2 linked regions of the Pelodiscus sinensis genome follow. The protein of the gene in region 1 interacts with the protein of each later gene in a pairwise test. Links are inferred from orthologs where the notes say so. Each region holds a gene or a part of one and is shown in the gene's direction. Other genes may lie near its edges.

The links.
Region 2: the proteins of synaptonemal complex central element protein 1 (region 1) and WASHC3 interact in binary tests that used the Homo sapiens proteins (3 or more experiments, as listed by UniProt). The two-hybrid records come from large-scale screens. The link is inferred for Pelodiscus sinensis from reciprocal best matches to the Homo sapiens genes SYCE1 and WASHC3.

Annotation. Positions count from the first base shown.
Region 1 is NW_027465846.1:151,320-159,220, forward strand, and holds the start of synaptonemal complex central element protein 1, read left to right. Parts: upstream 1-4,867; 5' UTR 4,868-4,968; coding exon 4,969-4,987; intron 4,988-6,517; coding exon 6,518-6,580; intron 6,581-7,103; coding exon 7,104-7,163; intron 7,164-7,655; coding exon 7,656-7,730; intron 7,731-7,901. UniProt on the Homo sapiens protein: Major component of the transverse central element of synaptonemal complexes (SCS), formed between homologous chromosomes during meiotic prophase. Requires SYCP1 in order to be incorporated into the central element.
Region 2 is NC_134711.1:99,545,416-99,553,005, forward strand, and holds the start of WASHC3 (WASH complex subunit 3), read left to right. Parts: upstream 1-4,506; 5' UTR 4,507-4,654; coding exon 4,655-4,909; intron 4,910-7,590. UniProt on the Homo sapiens protein: Acts as a component of the WASH core complex that functions as a nucleation-promoting factor (NPF) at the surface of endosomes, where it recruits and activates the Arp2/3 complex to induce actin polymerization, playing a key role in the fission of tubules that serve as transport intermediates during endosome sorting.

The DNA of each region.
Region 1 (7,901 bases):
TACACTGGCTCCTGTGGCCTGTTACGGGAAGGGCCTGTGCTGAAGGACTCCACCCAAATGATGAAGCTGGGTTTGTGTATGGCATCTCCTCGACGGAAGTTTTTCTTCTAGTACTTGGCTCCTTTCCCCGGAGCCTCTGTTCTCTGCTTCCCAGTGTGGATCAGCTGCCGGTCCCTAAGCAATGGGTTGCAATTGTGTTTCTCCTTCCTTTGGAAGAATTGTGGCTAATTGCATCTCTTGGCATCAGAGCCCGACCTGCTTTGAACCCATTTTTCTAACACTCTCTGCTCTTTAAGTGTCCTAGCCTGGAATGAACTTAGATTTCTTGCAGGACCTGGAGGTCTGTGGCTCATGTTTGATAATAGATTTAGCTGGGTGCTGTGTCTGGAAACAGCGGCTCATGTTTGCCAACCGATTTAAACTGGGCGCTGTGTCTGGAAACGGCAATATGTGCGGTGGAAAGGAGATTACTCCTTCATCTCCTCCTCTCCGTCCCCCGCACATGCTGCTCTCGATGCTGTAAATCGGAAATGGGAGATGCCCCCCATGTTGTGTTCTCTCTCCATGGGCTGGTTGTGTTAGTTAATGTCTGCACCAATGCACTCTCCTCTGTATTAATGTCTGCACCAATGCAGGGGTCTGTATTAATTTAATGTTCCCTTTTGGAAAGGCAGATCCTTTCACAGGAAGATTCAAAATGCTTTTTGAAAGCAACAGACTGCCTCTCTCCTTTGCTGGTGACAGCTGCGCCCTGCCTTACGGTAAATGGGCTGCCCCTTGGCTCTTTTCAGTCTCGTTGTCCATCCGGGCTGCTAGAAGGGCTGTTTGGGGCCTCAGCCGTGGGCTCGAGCCAGAATCTGTGGGATCTGCTTCACCCAGGAAGATCACCCCATGTCTCCGGAGAGCGAGCCCTGCCTGCATCTCCTTTCACTTGCATCTAGCTGCTCCAAGGAGACCTGGCGGGGTTGGGGAAGTGGAAAGTGTTTTCACATGCATGAGGCGCTGTGCCTGGAACCGGCGTGGCTGGCTGTCAAATGAGGTCTCTTCCTGGCTGGCTTGTGGAACTGAGAATCAAAGTCTTATTAAAAAGTTGTTTTGATGAGGGTGTATCTGCCTTGCTTGCTAGCCAGCACGGAGGCTGTAGCCATGAGGAGGAGGAATTGGTGCTTTCTAAATACTAGCTGTGTTGGGATTTCTGCTATAGGGAGCTGTGGATGCACACCAGAGGTCTTGTGTCGATTTTAATACGCTCACCTGTGGATATATGTCGGCTCACAGATGAGCTTGCCCCAAACGTTGTCACACTAACCCTCTGCCTGAGGTTGGCGTTTTCCATCCCGTCAGCCCCGTTCTTTTTGACAGGGGCGAGCAAGGCAAGATGTGATTCCAAATTCGCTGCACTCATTTTTCTCCTCCAGGAGCCTCTTTTCTTCTCGCTGTGTGTTCCACTTAGTTACAGGTGCAGAGGTGGTTATTCATATCTAAGTATTATACCTGCTGTGGGCTGTGTTCCTTCCGCAGCTGCTGGGCTCATTCAGAAGGGAGAGGTACACAAATTGGAGATAAATCGGGCACTAGTTCCAGCAGCGAACTGTGTCTTTTGGGCCAAACCTCTGTCGTTTCACGTGTGAACTGCTGGCGATGGAGGTATGCAACTTTATGGCAGCTGGGGCTCATCTTGCCAGTCAGTCCTTAGCACACGGTCGCTCTGTCTCCCATAAGGAGCACATAACAGGCAGCAAGTTCAGCCGCTCTTGAAGAGGGAAGGAGCGCAGCAAGGCATGGTAGAAAGGTTATGACCGATTCTTATTCACAGCTGTTTTTTCTGGGGTATTGCACCCTGGACCGCAGGCTGTTACTTGACTCTTGTGTGTGCTGATGTGGTGCAGAGAGAGCTGTTGTGCAGAAACGAAGCTACCAGCTGCGCTAGCAAGTTAACCTTGCTACTACAACATTGGAAATAGAAGCATGGACCCAACCAGAGTCCAAAATACCCAGGCGAGCCTCCCGGCTGTTATTTTAAGATGCAGCTCGCGCTCACACCATGCTGTAAGCTGTGTGCATGGGCTCTGCAGAAGGAGATGGGCCTGTGCAAGGAAGGCAGCTGCTGCCTGGAGAGGTCTGGTCCGCTATCCACCCCCGGGCTCCATGCACCAGGAATCTATCTGCACGGGTTGGGGAGGCAGAAACAAGCAATGGCCAGCTGCCTAGCTCAGGCTCCTGCACTTGTCGGGCCACTGAGGTACAGGAGCAGGCTAGGCCTCTGTCCAGTCACTGCCAGCCCTCGCGCATCGCTCGTTCCCTGCCAGTCGTTAGAGCTCCCTATCCCGTACCATCTTCCCAAGCCAATTACCCTCCCTCCCAGCTATGGCCCTTCTCTATGGGGGAGTCTCCCAGGCTGCTAACCACTAGCACATCCTCCCAGGACCCTGCCTTCATGGTGGAGCTCAAGGACCACTGGAGATGTCCTATGTGGGGGAGCGTGGATGTAATCTAGCCCTGTCACAGAAGGCTGGGATGAGCTTAGCCTGGTGTTGGGACAAGGGAGGAGCAGCTGCAGGTCCCATGCTCCAGGGTAGCTGCCTATGGTTCCCTGCTCTAACCCACTGGGACCCCCAAACTGAGTAGAGACCCCCCCACAGCCAGGGGGAGAACCCAGGAATCTTGGCTCCCTGCTCCCCTCCATAGCCCTCAGCCAGGAAAAGAACTCAGGAGGCTGGGCTCCCAGCCCCCCCACCCAGCCAGGGGGAGAACCCAGGGGGAGAACCCAGGAACCCTGTCTCCCAGCCCCCCCAGCTACGGGGAGAACCCAGGAGCCCTGTCTCCCAGTCCCCCCCCCCAGCCAGGGGGAGAACCCAGGAGCCCTGTCTCCCAGCCCCTCCCCCAGCCAGGGGGAGAACCCAGGAGCCCTGTCTCCCAGCCCCCCCCCCCCCAGCCAGGGGGAGAACCCAGGAACCCTGTCTCCCAGCCCCTCCCCCAGCCAGGGGGAGAACCCAGGAGCCCTGTCTCCCAGCCCCCCCCCCCCCAGCCAGGGGGAGAACCCAGGAACCCTGTCTCCCAGCCCCCCCCCCCCAGCCAGGGGGAGAACCCAGGAACCCTGTCTCCCAGCCCCCCCCCCCAGCCAGGGGGAGAGCCCAGGAACCCTGTCTCCCAGCCCCCCCCCCGCCCCACAGCCAGGGGGAGAACCCAGGAACCCTGTCTCCCAGCCCCCCCGCCCCACAGCCAGAGGGAGAGCCCAGGAACCCTGTCTCCCAGCCCCCCCCGCCCCACAGCCAGGGGGAGAACCCAGGAACCCTGTCTCCCAGCCCCCCCGCCCCACAGCCAGAGGGAGAGCCCAGGAACCCTGTCTCCCAGCCCCCCACGCCCCACAGCCAGGGGGAGAACCCAGGAACCCTGTCTCCCAGCCCCCCCGCCCCATAGCCAGGGGGAGAGCCCAGGAACCCTGTCTCCCAGCCCCCCCGCCCCACAGCCAGAGGGAGAGCCCAGGAACCCTGTCTCCCAGCCCCCCCCCCCGCCCCACAGCCAGGGGGAGAACCCAGGAACCCTGTCTCCCAGCCCCCCCGCCCCCCAGCCAGGGGGAGAGCCCAGGAACCCTGTCTCCCAGCCCCCCCGCCCCCCAGCCAGGGGGAGAACCCAGGAACCCTGTCTCCCAGCCCCCCCAGCCAGGGGGAGAACCCAGGAACCCTGTCTCCCAGGCCCCCCCCCCCCCAGCCAGGGGGAGAGCCCAGGAACCCTGTCTCCCAGCCCCCCCCCCCCCCAGCCAGGGGGAGAGCCCAGGAGCCCTGTCTCCCAGCCCCCCCCCCAGCCAGGGGGAGAGCCCAGGAACCCTGTCTCCCAGCCCCCCCCCCCCGCCCCACAGCCAGGGGGAGAACCCAGGAACCCTGTCTCCCAGCCCCCCCGCCCCACAGCCAGAGGGAGAGCCCAGGAACCCTGTCTCCCAGCCCCCCCCCGCCCCACAGCCAGAGGGAGAGCCCAGGAACCCTGTCTCCCAGCCCCCCCGCCCCATAGCCAGGGGGAGAGCCCAGGAACCCTGTCTCCCAGCCCCCCCCGCCCCACAGCCAGAGGGAGAGCCCAGGAACCCTGTCTCCCAGCCCCCCCCCGCCCCACAGCCAGGGGGAGAACCCAGGAACCCTGTCTCCCAGCCCCCCCGCCCCCCAGCCAGGGGGAGAGCCCAGGAACCCTGTCTCCCAGCCCCCCCGCCCCACAGCCAGGGGGAGAACCCAGGAACCCTGTCTCCCAGCCCCCCCAGCCAGGGGGAGAACCCAGGAACCCTGTCTCCCAGCCCCCCCCCCCAGCCAGGGGGAGAGCCCAGGAACCCTGTCTCCCAGCCCCCCCCCCCCCCCCAGCCAGGAGGAGAGCCCAGGAACCCTGTCTCCCAGCCCCCCCCCCCAGCCAGGGGGAGAGCCCAGGAACCCTGTCTCCCAGCCCCCCCCCCCCCCAGCCAGGAGGAGAGCCCAGGAACCCTGTCTCCCAGCCCCCCCCCCACCCAGGGGGAGAACCCAGGAACCCTGTCTCCCAGCCCCCCCAGCCAGGGGGAGAACCCAGGAACCCTGTCTCCCAGCCCCCCCCCCCCCCAGCCAGGAGGAGAGCCCAGGAACCCTGTCTCCCAGCCCCCCCCCCCACCCAGGGGGAGAACCCAGGAACCCTGTCTCCCAGCCCCCCCAGCCAGGGGGAGAACCCAGGAACCCTGTCTCCCAGCCCCCCCCCCCCCCCAGCCAGGGGGAGAGCCCAGGAACCCTGTCTCCCAGCCCCTCCCCCAGCGAGCAGTTAGCCCCTCCTCTTTGGAAGGGGGCGGGGCCCTAGCCATTGGAAAACACGGCACGAGCCCCGGAGGGGGCGGGGCCGCAGCAGCCGTTGGAAAAAGGCGGGAAAAAAGCGTAGGAGGGGCAGTTTCAAGGCTTCCCCTTCCACCCGCGGTGCGACTAGGCGCAGGTGTTAAGGCCCCCCCAGCTCTCTGGACACAGGGCCATGGAGAGGAGTGGACAGAGTGAGGGGGATGGGCGGAGGGGGCACAGCTCCAGCCCCACAGCGCAGGGCGCCCATGGCAGTTACATAGCACCAAGGGGGGCGTCCCACAGCGCCCTGCCCCCTCACGCCAAGGGGGGCGCCCCACAGCGCCCTGCCCCCTCACACCAAGGGGGGCGTCTCACAGCGCCCTGCCCCCTCACACCAAGGGGGGCGTCTCACAGCGCCCTGCCCCCTCACGCCAAGGGGGGTGTCCCACAGCGCCCTGCCCCCTCACGCCAAGGGGTGCCCCACAGCACCCTGCCCCCTCACGCCAAGGGGGGCGCCCCACAGCGCCCTGCCCCCTCACACTGGGGGGTGCCCCACAGCGCCCTGCTTCCTCACACCGGGGGGTGCCCCACAGCGCCCTGCCCCCTCACGCCAAGGGGGGTGCCCCACAGCGCCCTGCCCCCTCACACCAAGGGGGAGCGTTCCACAGCGCCCTGCCCCCTCACGCCAAGGGGGGCGTCCCACAGCGCCCTGCTCCCTCACGCCAAGGGGGGCGCCCCACTGCGCCCTGCCCCCTCACACCGGGGGGGCGTCCCACAGCGCCCTGCTCCCTCACGCCAAGGGGGGTGTCCCACAGCGCCCTGCCCCCTCACACCGGGGGGCGCCCCACAGCGCCCTGCTTCCTCACACCGGGGGGTGCCCCACAGCGCCCTGCCCCCTCACGCCAAGGGGGGCGCCCCACAGCGCCCTGCCCCCTCACACCAAGGGGGAGCGTTCCACAGCGCCCTGCCCCCTCACGCCAAGGGGGGGGCGCCCCACTGTGCCCTGCCCCCTCACACCGGGGGGGCGTCCCACTGCGCCCTGCCCCCTCACACCGGGGGGTGCCCCACTGCGCCCTGCCCCCTCATGCCAAGGGGGGCGCCCCACAGCGCCCTGCCCCCTCACACCGGGGTGGGGGGTGTCCCACTGCGCCCTGCCCCCTCACACCGGGGTGGGGGGTGTCCCACTGCGCCCTGCCCCCTCACGCCAAGGGGGGCGCCCCACAGCGCCCTGCCCCCTCACGCCAAGGGGGGCGCCCCACAGCGCCCTGCTCCCTCACACCAAGGGCGGGCGTCTCACAGCGACCTGCTCCCTCACACCGGAGGGCGCCCCACAGCGCCCTGCCCCCTCACGCCAAGGGGGGCGCCCCACAGCGCCCTGCCCCCTCACGCCAAGGGCGGTGCCCCACAGTGCCCTGCCCCCTCACATCGGGGGGCGTCCCACAGCACCCTGCTCCCTCACGCCAAGGGGGCGTCTCACAGCGCCCTGCTCCCTCACACGTTGGGCCACGGTACCCTTGTTGCCCCCACCAGGGACCAGCAAGCCCCCAATGCCTTCCTCCCACCAAGCAGGGGTTAGCGCCAAGGCAATCCCACAGTGCCCGTCTCCCTCGTGCCCTGGGCTGGATAAAGCCGAGTCCAGCCTGCAATGCCTTCTCTAGCCCGTTGTGGGGGCGGGTAAATCCCCAGTTACAGGCTCGGGGGGAATTCTCAAAGCAATTGATTTTTTTGTTTCCTCTTCCCAGTTCCCAGCAGCTTCACGCCCAAGGCAGAGGAGCTGCTAGTGCTGGTGAAACAACTGCAGGATGGTACCCACGAGCTGGGTGTGGTGTTTAAGCAACCGGGAATCAGGGTCCTCTCCCCAGCTCTGGAAGGAGATTGGGACACGTTGGTCGGGGGGGGGGGGGGCAGCTAGGCGCTAGGAGTCCTGGGCTCTGTACCTGGCCCTGCAAGGGGAGTAGGGTCCAGTGGTTGGGGTGGGGGGGGGGGGGGGGAAGCTGGGATTCTTGGGTTCTACCTCCAGGTCTAGGAAAGGAGTGGGACCTAGAGGCGGGGCGGGGGGGGAGGCCTGCAAGCCAGGACACTTGGGTTTTCTCCCCAGCTCTGGGAGGAGGGGGGCATCTAGCCTGGAGTCTGTAAGGGGGGGGCTCTTGTTCTTTTCCTGGCTCTGCCCATGACTTTCGGTGTGACTTCTCTGTGTCTCAGTCCCCTGCCCCTCCGTAAGCGGAGCCAGGAATAACCGCTTCCCCCCCGGGCACGCTCCAAAGAGCTGGGGGTGAAGGACCCTTGTCAGGAGCACAACCAGGCAAGCCCTTCCCCTTCCCTCCGCAGCAGGGACACTGGAGCCCCGAATGGACGACCTGGTAGGAAGGCTCAGGAAACTGCAGCGAGGTGAGGGGAGGGGAGGGGAAGGGAAGGGAGAGTGCTCCCGTTACAGCCTGTTCCCCCGCACCCTCATTGCCGGGACCGTAGCACTGCCCCCCATGTCCCCGCCAACATTTGAATTGCTAAATAGGGGTATGTCTACACTACCGCCCTAGTTCGAACTAGGGTGGTTAATGTAGGCAACCGAAGTTGCAAATGAAGCCTGGGATTTGAATTTCCCGGGCTTCATTTGCATATTGCCGGGCGCCGCCATTTTTAAATGTCCGCTAGTTCGGACTCTGTGCCCACGGCTACACGCGGCACGGACTAGGTAGTTCGGATTAGGCTTCCTATTCCGAACTACCGTTACTCCTCGTGGAACCCCTCTGTCTACCCCTCCCCACGTACACCCCTCCGTCTATCCACCCCTCCTCATTACACACCCCACCTCTCCAGCCCCAAAGAAGTCTCTCTCTCTCTCTCCTCACCTTCCCCCCAACCCGCTTGGTCTTGCCATAGCTAAGCAGGCTCTGAGCCAGGAGCTGCAGGACAGCCAGGCGCGCAGCAAGGAATTGCAGGAAGAGCTGGAGGAGCGTAAGTCACCCCCGCCCGGCACGGTTCCACGTTGCTCCTCAGGTCATTGGGTCGGATTCTCCAAGGAGCCTGTCTCCTGCCGGGCCGCGGCTTCCTGCTTCGTATCTGCGGGTCACTGCCTCCGTGGATGTGGTTGCAGAAATCCGGGGATCGTTTCTGTGCCCACGGATA
Region 2 (7,590 bases), on another chromosome or scaffold:
TTTATACAATCACATACTATTTTTTTCATGACATCCCTGCCATATTCAGTAAAAGGTAAGCTATTTGATATTTCTTTTTCTCCACATTCAATATGTGGACACAGGCCTTGTTACACACAGTCTACCCAAAGCCTGCCCTAACTAAAAAATTAATAATATGCTCTTAAACTGTGTTCTGGAGTTATTTGCTCAATAACTTTCCCCTGGACTTTTTTTTTGCTCAACAAAAAAATCCTTGGTGTTCCTCATAAAAAAAATTTTGTTCCTCAGTCTTAAAAAGTTTATGAAACACTGCTCTATAGTGTTCATCACTTTAGTTTCTGTTTCACGAATATTAACCAATATAGCTTCACAACCCCATTCTGAAGTAAGATGGTATTCTCCCTCTTATACAGCTAGGGATCTGGGAAGGTTGAAATTGCTACGTGTCCATTCCTTTTAAGTTCTCAAATTGAAATATCTAGGACATAGGTGACATGTAATGGAAATTGGGGAAGGTTAAGTTTCCCCAAATTTTGTATTCCTGCTAGGTTTGCAAACTTTCTAAATGCAAACCCTTGCCTTGTCCCTTGCCCCTTCTCTGAAATCCTGACTCTTCTCTGAGGCCCCACCTCTTACTTGTTCCATCCCCCTCCCTCCATCATTAATTCTCCCTCACCCACACTCACTCTCACCTGGCTGAGGCAGAGGGCTGAGTTGGGAGGGACGGCTCTGGGTGAGGATACAGGTGGGGGGTGGGGGGGAGAGAATGTGTGTGGCAGAAATGGAGGGTTCAGGATGCAGGAGCAAGCTCTGGGTTAGGGCAGGGGATTGAGGAATGGGAAGGGATGAAGTCTCCATCTAGGGGCGCAGGCTCTGGGGTAGGGGCCAGGAATGAGGGGTTTAAGGTGCAGATGAGGATGATAGCTCTGAAAGGGAGCTAGGATGTGGGAAGAAGTTTGGGGTGAGGCTCTGGCTGGGTGATACATACTTCAGGTGGTTCCCAGAAGTGCCAAAATGTTGTTCTGGATCCTAGGCAGAGGAGTGAGGAGGCACCACCCCCACAGCTCCCATTGGCCATGGTTCATTGTCAATAAGAGCTATGGAGCCAACGTTCAGGGGCAAAGGCAGTGCTGGACATGCTGGCTGTTTCCTGGAGATGCACTGAGCAAGGGCAGGCAGGGAGGCTGCCTCAGCACCACTGTGCTGCCAACTGTCCACATATCTATACAAATGACACCATTACAGGATCTAACCATGTAAGCCACAGCTTTGGGGGCTCATACACCTGCATATTAACTAATGTGATATATGCCAGCAATGACTCTGTCATGTATATTGGTCAAACCAGACAGTCTCTGCACCAACGGATAAATAGACACAAATCAGACATCAGGAATGGTAATACACATAAACCTGTAAGAAAACATTTTAACTTCTTTGGGTATTCAATAATGGATTTTAAAGTAGCCATCCTTATACAAAAGAATTTTATCACCTGATTACAGAGGGAGACTGCTGAACTGGAATTCATTTACAAGTTCAATGCTACCAACTTATGCTTCAATAAAGATCTTAACTGGTTAACACGCTACAAAGGCATTTTCCCCACTTTTGATATTTGCATCTACACATCAAATGCTGTGAATTAAACACATCCACCTTCACTTAATTAGTTTAGTTAACACTGGTCCTACAATTGACAGGTAACTTCTTTTGCTGTTATATATACCTCAAATTCTGTAATTTCATCTCCAATTTATCTGACCTAATAAATTCGTTAGTCTCTAAGGTGCCACAGGAATGCTCACTAGTCTGTAATTGTAAAAACAACACAGTTACCCCTCTGAGGCTACGTCTACACTGGCGCGTTCTCACGCAAAAACTCTTTTACGGAAGAGTTCTTGTGCAAAAACTCTTCCAGAAGAGAGAGTCTACACTGACGTGCTTTTGCACAAGAGATGTAAACGCTCTCTTGCGCAAGAAAGCTCTGATGGCCATTTTAGCCATCGGGCTTTCTTGCGCAAGAAATTCATGTTGCCTGTCTACACTGGCCTCTTGCGCAAGAACAGTTGTGCAAAAGGGCTTATTCCTGAGCGGGAGCATCAGAGTTCTGGTGCAAGAAGCCCTGATTTCATACATTAGAATGTCAGTTTACTTGTACAAGAACATGCGGCCAGTGTAGACAGGCAACAAGTTTTTACGCAAGAGTGGCCGCTTTTGTGCGAGATCGCGCCAGTGTAGACACAGACTGAGACTCATTACTTCCTTGTTCAAATACTGATGGTTTATGTTAGAGAGAGCATTTCATTGGGAGCTCATGTTCAGCTGGATGGAGTATCTAAATTCTTTACAAAGTCACTGCTTTTCAGGACTTACCTGAACCCTCTTTACTCTAGTTATGCAGAAGCTCTATGGGGAAAAATGAGTCAATTTTTTTCATATCCACCATTTTAAGCACCCAGCATTTAGAGGTGCTAAACCCTTGAGTATTCATAGTCACCTTTGAAAGATACATTAGATACATAACACAAAGGTAGCTCAATATATTTGATAAATATAGATACTGGGTGACTACTGTATATTTGAGAGTTTGTCTGTCTGTCTGTCTATTCATCTCTGTCTGTCTGTCTTCAAGAACTGCTCCTGAATGGTAAGAGATAAGACCACCAAATTCAGTATACAGCTTCCTCTTATCCTAACTTACAGCAAGGTAAGTGTTTGGATGTGCCTGGAATGAGATTGATTCTCATAAAACCATACAGAAAACAAACAATCACCAGACAGGTGAAAGGAGCTGACTGGGAGTGCACCCCGCTCCTCTGGGACTGCCCCAGCCCTGAGCCTCCCACTCCTCAGGGCATCCTTTGGAGGGGTGGCTAAAGCCTCCCCCTCTCCCCCCATGCATTCCTCCCCTACCCTCTGCAGGTAAATTTTTTAGCAGGCTGGCCAGCAGCCCAGCTCAGTCCTAGCTTGTGCCTAGTCCAGGACCTACCCTGCTGCAGCTTTGCATTAGATGTGTATTAGGAGCCAGGTGGGCAGGTAGCCTGGTTCAGTTCTAGTTCATGCCAGGTCCAGAAGCTCAGCCCCTCCCCTGGACAAAGCTGCTGCCACCCTGCGCTGCTGCTTCTGTATCAGAGGCAGTAGCACGGGGCAACAGGCAGCCGTTCCACAAGGGGAACTGGTTTTTTAAACTCTCTCCTTGTGGACCAGATCTCACCTGGCACCCCACGCTGCTGCCACTGATACAGAGGCAGCAGTATGGAGTGGCAGAGGGATCCTTGTGGGTGGGGAGGAGGCACATTAGCTTCCAGCCCCACACCCAGGGACTATAGAATAGTCGACTAACCGACAAGAATTCATGAGATTAATCGACTATTGAATTAACCAATATTTAACATCCCTAATGGGAACATTGCTGGCTGTTCCCCTTCATAAGGGAGTAAGGGGAAAGTACAATTTGCTGCATTCCTCCCTCTGGCTGGGGAGCACAGGGGGCAGATAAACCTAGTCCTGCCCCAGCCAGGAGACATGCAACCAGCCCCGGCTATATTTGTCAAATATATTGAGCTACCTCTTTGTGTTAGGTACTCCATGTATATTTAAAAATGACTATGAATGCTCCAGGACTTGGCACCTGTAAATGCTGAATGCATCCTGTTGAGGTGAGTGGGATTTAAACATGAGCCTAAAATTCACCATGTATGGAAGCACTTTGCTGAATAGGGATGGATCTCTGAACTGGGGCCTGTGCGCCTTTCCTCACTCCCCTTCACATAAAAAGCCTACTGTGTAGGTCCCTCCCTTGTAATTTCATGGCATTTGTGCAGCTGGAGTTATGGCTCATGGGGTTTTATTTATTTAACTCGTGCTCTTAAATGTGATGCTATGACTATTAAGAAGTTATTCAGTGGGAGCGTCAGAACAGCCTGGCAGGGCTGCGGAGCTGCGTCAGCAGTACACATTGTGGATTAATGCTGAAGAAATCCAGCGTGTCTCCTGGAATAGACAAGGGTTAAAAAATCCAAACCTGGAAGTGTGGCGCGCAACCTCTGGGGAGCGAGCGTGTGACCGCCCCGCAGGCAGTGGGCGCCGCAAGATGGCACTAAAGGGAAAAGCGTAGCAGGCACGTGGCGGGAGAGAACGCTGAAGCCCACTTTAAGAGTCAGAGCCAGCCGCTGCCCCTCCCGCCTACAATTCCCATGATGCAATGGGGGGGGGGATGAAGGGGGAAGGGCGTTTCCGCAGTCTCCGGTAGCGTGTGCGCAGGCGCCGGGACAATAGGCTAGTCTACCAGTCTCCGGACCTGCCCAGCCGAGCGGGTTTTGTATCCGGGGGGAGAGGTTAATCTCGGCTCGGAGTGCTGGCGGCTTCCGGGCGGGGCGGGCAGTGGTGACTTCGTTCCGCGTTTTCCCGCCGCGCCTCCCTGACTGGCCGCGGGGGATGGACGAGGACGGGCTGCCCCTCGTGGGCTCCGGCATCGACCTGACCAAGGTGCGGCCTCCCCACCCCCAGGCAGGGGGGGGGCCAGTCGCTCCCTCTTCCCCCCCCCCCCCAGGCGCGGGGGTTGGAAGAGACCCTGCCCCTGGGGCTGCTCCCCTCTGCCTCGCCTGTGGCCCCCGCGGGGTAGCCCCGCCCCCCAGCAGAGCGTTCCGGGGCTGTGTGACGCGGCTCGATGGCGGTTTCTCTTCTCTCGCTCCCCGCGGCGGGGGGGGGGGGGACAGTTGCGGCTCGATCCTCGCTTGTGAAGCCAGAGCCTGGGTCGGGGAGCTGCGCTGCGGTGTTTTGTGGCCGCGCAGCCGTCTCGCGCCCCTCGCCAGTGACGTCACGCTGGCCCCGAGCTCGTGTGTCTCCAGTTGGAAATCGCCGCCGCTGGCGCGTGGGCCGCTCATGGAACGCTGGGGCAAGTCGCCGGCGCGTGGTGGTGCAGGTGGGCCGCGGCCTCAGCGCTTCCCTCCTTCCCGGCCCTCTCCCTGGTGCTGCAGCCGCGCGCACCTTCCCTCCCCTGTGAGGTTGGAGTGACAGCGCTGGCTCCCTGCCGCGGGGAGGGTGGGAGAGGGGAGTGCCCTGAGCCGCCTAGGCTGGATCTGGCGCACATGGGTACGAAGTTGCTTTGTGCACTGCCACTCCCCCTCTCTCTTGCTGGGGGAATGGCAACATTGGAAATAGCTTGCCTGGAGGCTTTCCCTACTGCTCCCATTGGCCGGAATCCTGGCCAAAAATAGGAGTAGCGGGGGCAGTGCCTGAGAACAGTAGGAAGCATAGAGCCATGGAAGTGGCCCCGCCACCCCCTTCATTGCCCAGACTAGGGATGTTAAATATCAGTTAGTTGAATAACCTCATGAATTCTTCTTGCTTGGTCAACTATTCTATAGTCGCTGGGGCGGGACCAGAAGCTGTGCAGAGTGCCAGGCAGGACTATCCGTGAGGGGAGCCAGTTTAAAAACCAGTTCTGCTTGTGGACTGGCGGCTTGTAGCCCTGTGCTGCTGCCTCTGATAAAGAGACAAAAGTGCAGGGGGCGGTCTGAGCTCCCAGACCCAGCACGAACCAGAACTGAGTTGGGCTGCCTGTCTTCCTGGCTCCTACTACACTTTAAATGGAGAGCCACAGCAGTGGTCAGTCACAGACCCGGTGTGAGCCAGAACTGAGCTGGGCTGCTGGTCAACCTGCTAAAAGATTTACTGGTTGGGAGGGGAGGGAAATGCGTGTAGTCTATAGCGTTAACCTATAAGCTTTTGCTTATCAGTTAATTGACTACACTGTTACATTCTAGCCCAGACCCCTGCCCCTAGCCCAGGCCACTCCTGCCCCTCTCTCCTGCCCAGACCTCATACTTCCCACCCCCTTCTGCACCCATTTTGTATCATGGGTAGTTGGCTAGTGGTCCACAGAAAGGTTTGCATTGAGAGGGGTGGGCAGTGGGCCAAAAAGTTTGAGAACTACTGCTATAATGGCTGTCAGAGTGTTTGGGGAGCACAACTTCAAAGTGTCTTGTGTCATTGCTCTGAGCTCATTCCCAGCTAAAATCTGTGAGCTGAAGCAGTTCCTCCCAAGCTGGCAAAATCAGACCATTTCTGTTCTCTCTGCTCCTTTGCATTTGGTTTCCAGTGTACTTCTGTGTGATAGTTAGGTCTGTCCCTTGGGTATGGCAAGTTGAGACAACTACTCCTGCCCTTTGTGTGTGAATGTTGTGCAGTGCTCAGGCTTAATCTCTGGCAATAGCAGACATAGGCACCAACTCTGTGGGTGCTCTTAACCTAAGGCACTCAGAGGAAGAAAAAAAGTGTTGGGTGTTTGGCTAGTCCCTGTCAATGCCTCTTCTTCCTGCCCCCTACTGCCAGGCCCCTTGCAGCACCTACTGCCTGCCAGGAATCAGCTGTTTCAGGTTGTCAGGAGGTGCAAGGGAGAGGGGGCAAAACTGGTTAGGAAGAGGCAGGGTGGAGGTGGGGCACTGGGGAAGGAATGGAGTCAGGGCAAGACCTGGGCAGAGTCAGAAGGAGCATCCCTCTTCCCTCCCCTCCCCCCAGCAGATTAGAAATAGGCTGATTTTTTCCGGGCCCCCACACCCTACTAGGGACTGCCTTGGTGATATTTTAAAAACAAACAAAAAAAACCAACACTGTTTTTGTGAAAGGTAGTGACCATTAGTGATGTGCCTAAACAAACTTTCTAAACTTTAATTTTGTTATAAATAAATGAAAGTCCATTACAAACGTTCAGGCAATGCCTACACTGCCTTCTCTTGCGCAAGAGAATATGCAAATGAGCTGAAGTGGTGAATATTGCTGTGCCTCATTTGCATACTTAATGAGCTGCCATTTTGCGCATGGGGCTTTTGCACAAAAAGGAGATGTCTATACGGCTCCTTTTTGCACAAAAACCCCCTTGTGTGCAAGAGCCGTTCTTCCCAAAAAAAGCAGCAGACTGTCTCGTGCTCAAGAGGGGATTTTTGCACAAAAATGGTGGCTCATTAAGTATGCAAATGAGGTGTGGTGATATTCACCGCCTTTCCTCATTTGCATATTTTGCACAAGAGAGGGCAGTGTAGACATAGGCTAAGTGTCTTTTTAAGGGCAATTGAAGCCTAGCTTCTGAGTCACATACAGGTCAGGCATCTTATGTCACTACAGGTTGGACCTCCTTGGTCTGGCACCCTCAGGACCTGACTGGTTCAGGATGAGGGGTTTTGCTAGACATGGGGAGGTCATTTCACATCCCCCTGCCACTGACCCTCCCCCCAGCCCTGGCCTGGCCAGTGGTCTTAGCTGTCTCCATCGCTCCTCCCCAGACACACACACCTACTGCTGGCTTCCTGGTCCTGGCGGGTAGCCCTGCTGCCACCAGCCCTTTACCAGGACTCTGGTTTTGGAACATCCATTGTCCTGCCAGGATACAATGTTGCACTGTTTTAAGGCTCCCTATTTTAGGGCTCAAACCCATGTTTAGAGAGCATATGGGTGAGAAATCAATGGCCATTCCAAAAAAATCTGTGTTTAGTCAGAAGGGCTATAAAGTTGATACTACACAACCCCATTTAAAAGTTCAGAGTGTGTTTCTAATGTTTTATTTCTTGCTTGGTGTGAAACAGAACACTAAAATCAGTTATCTTT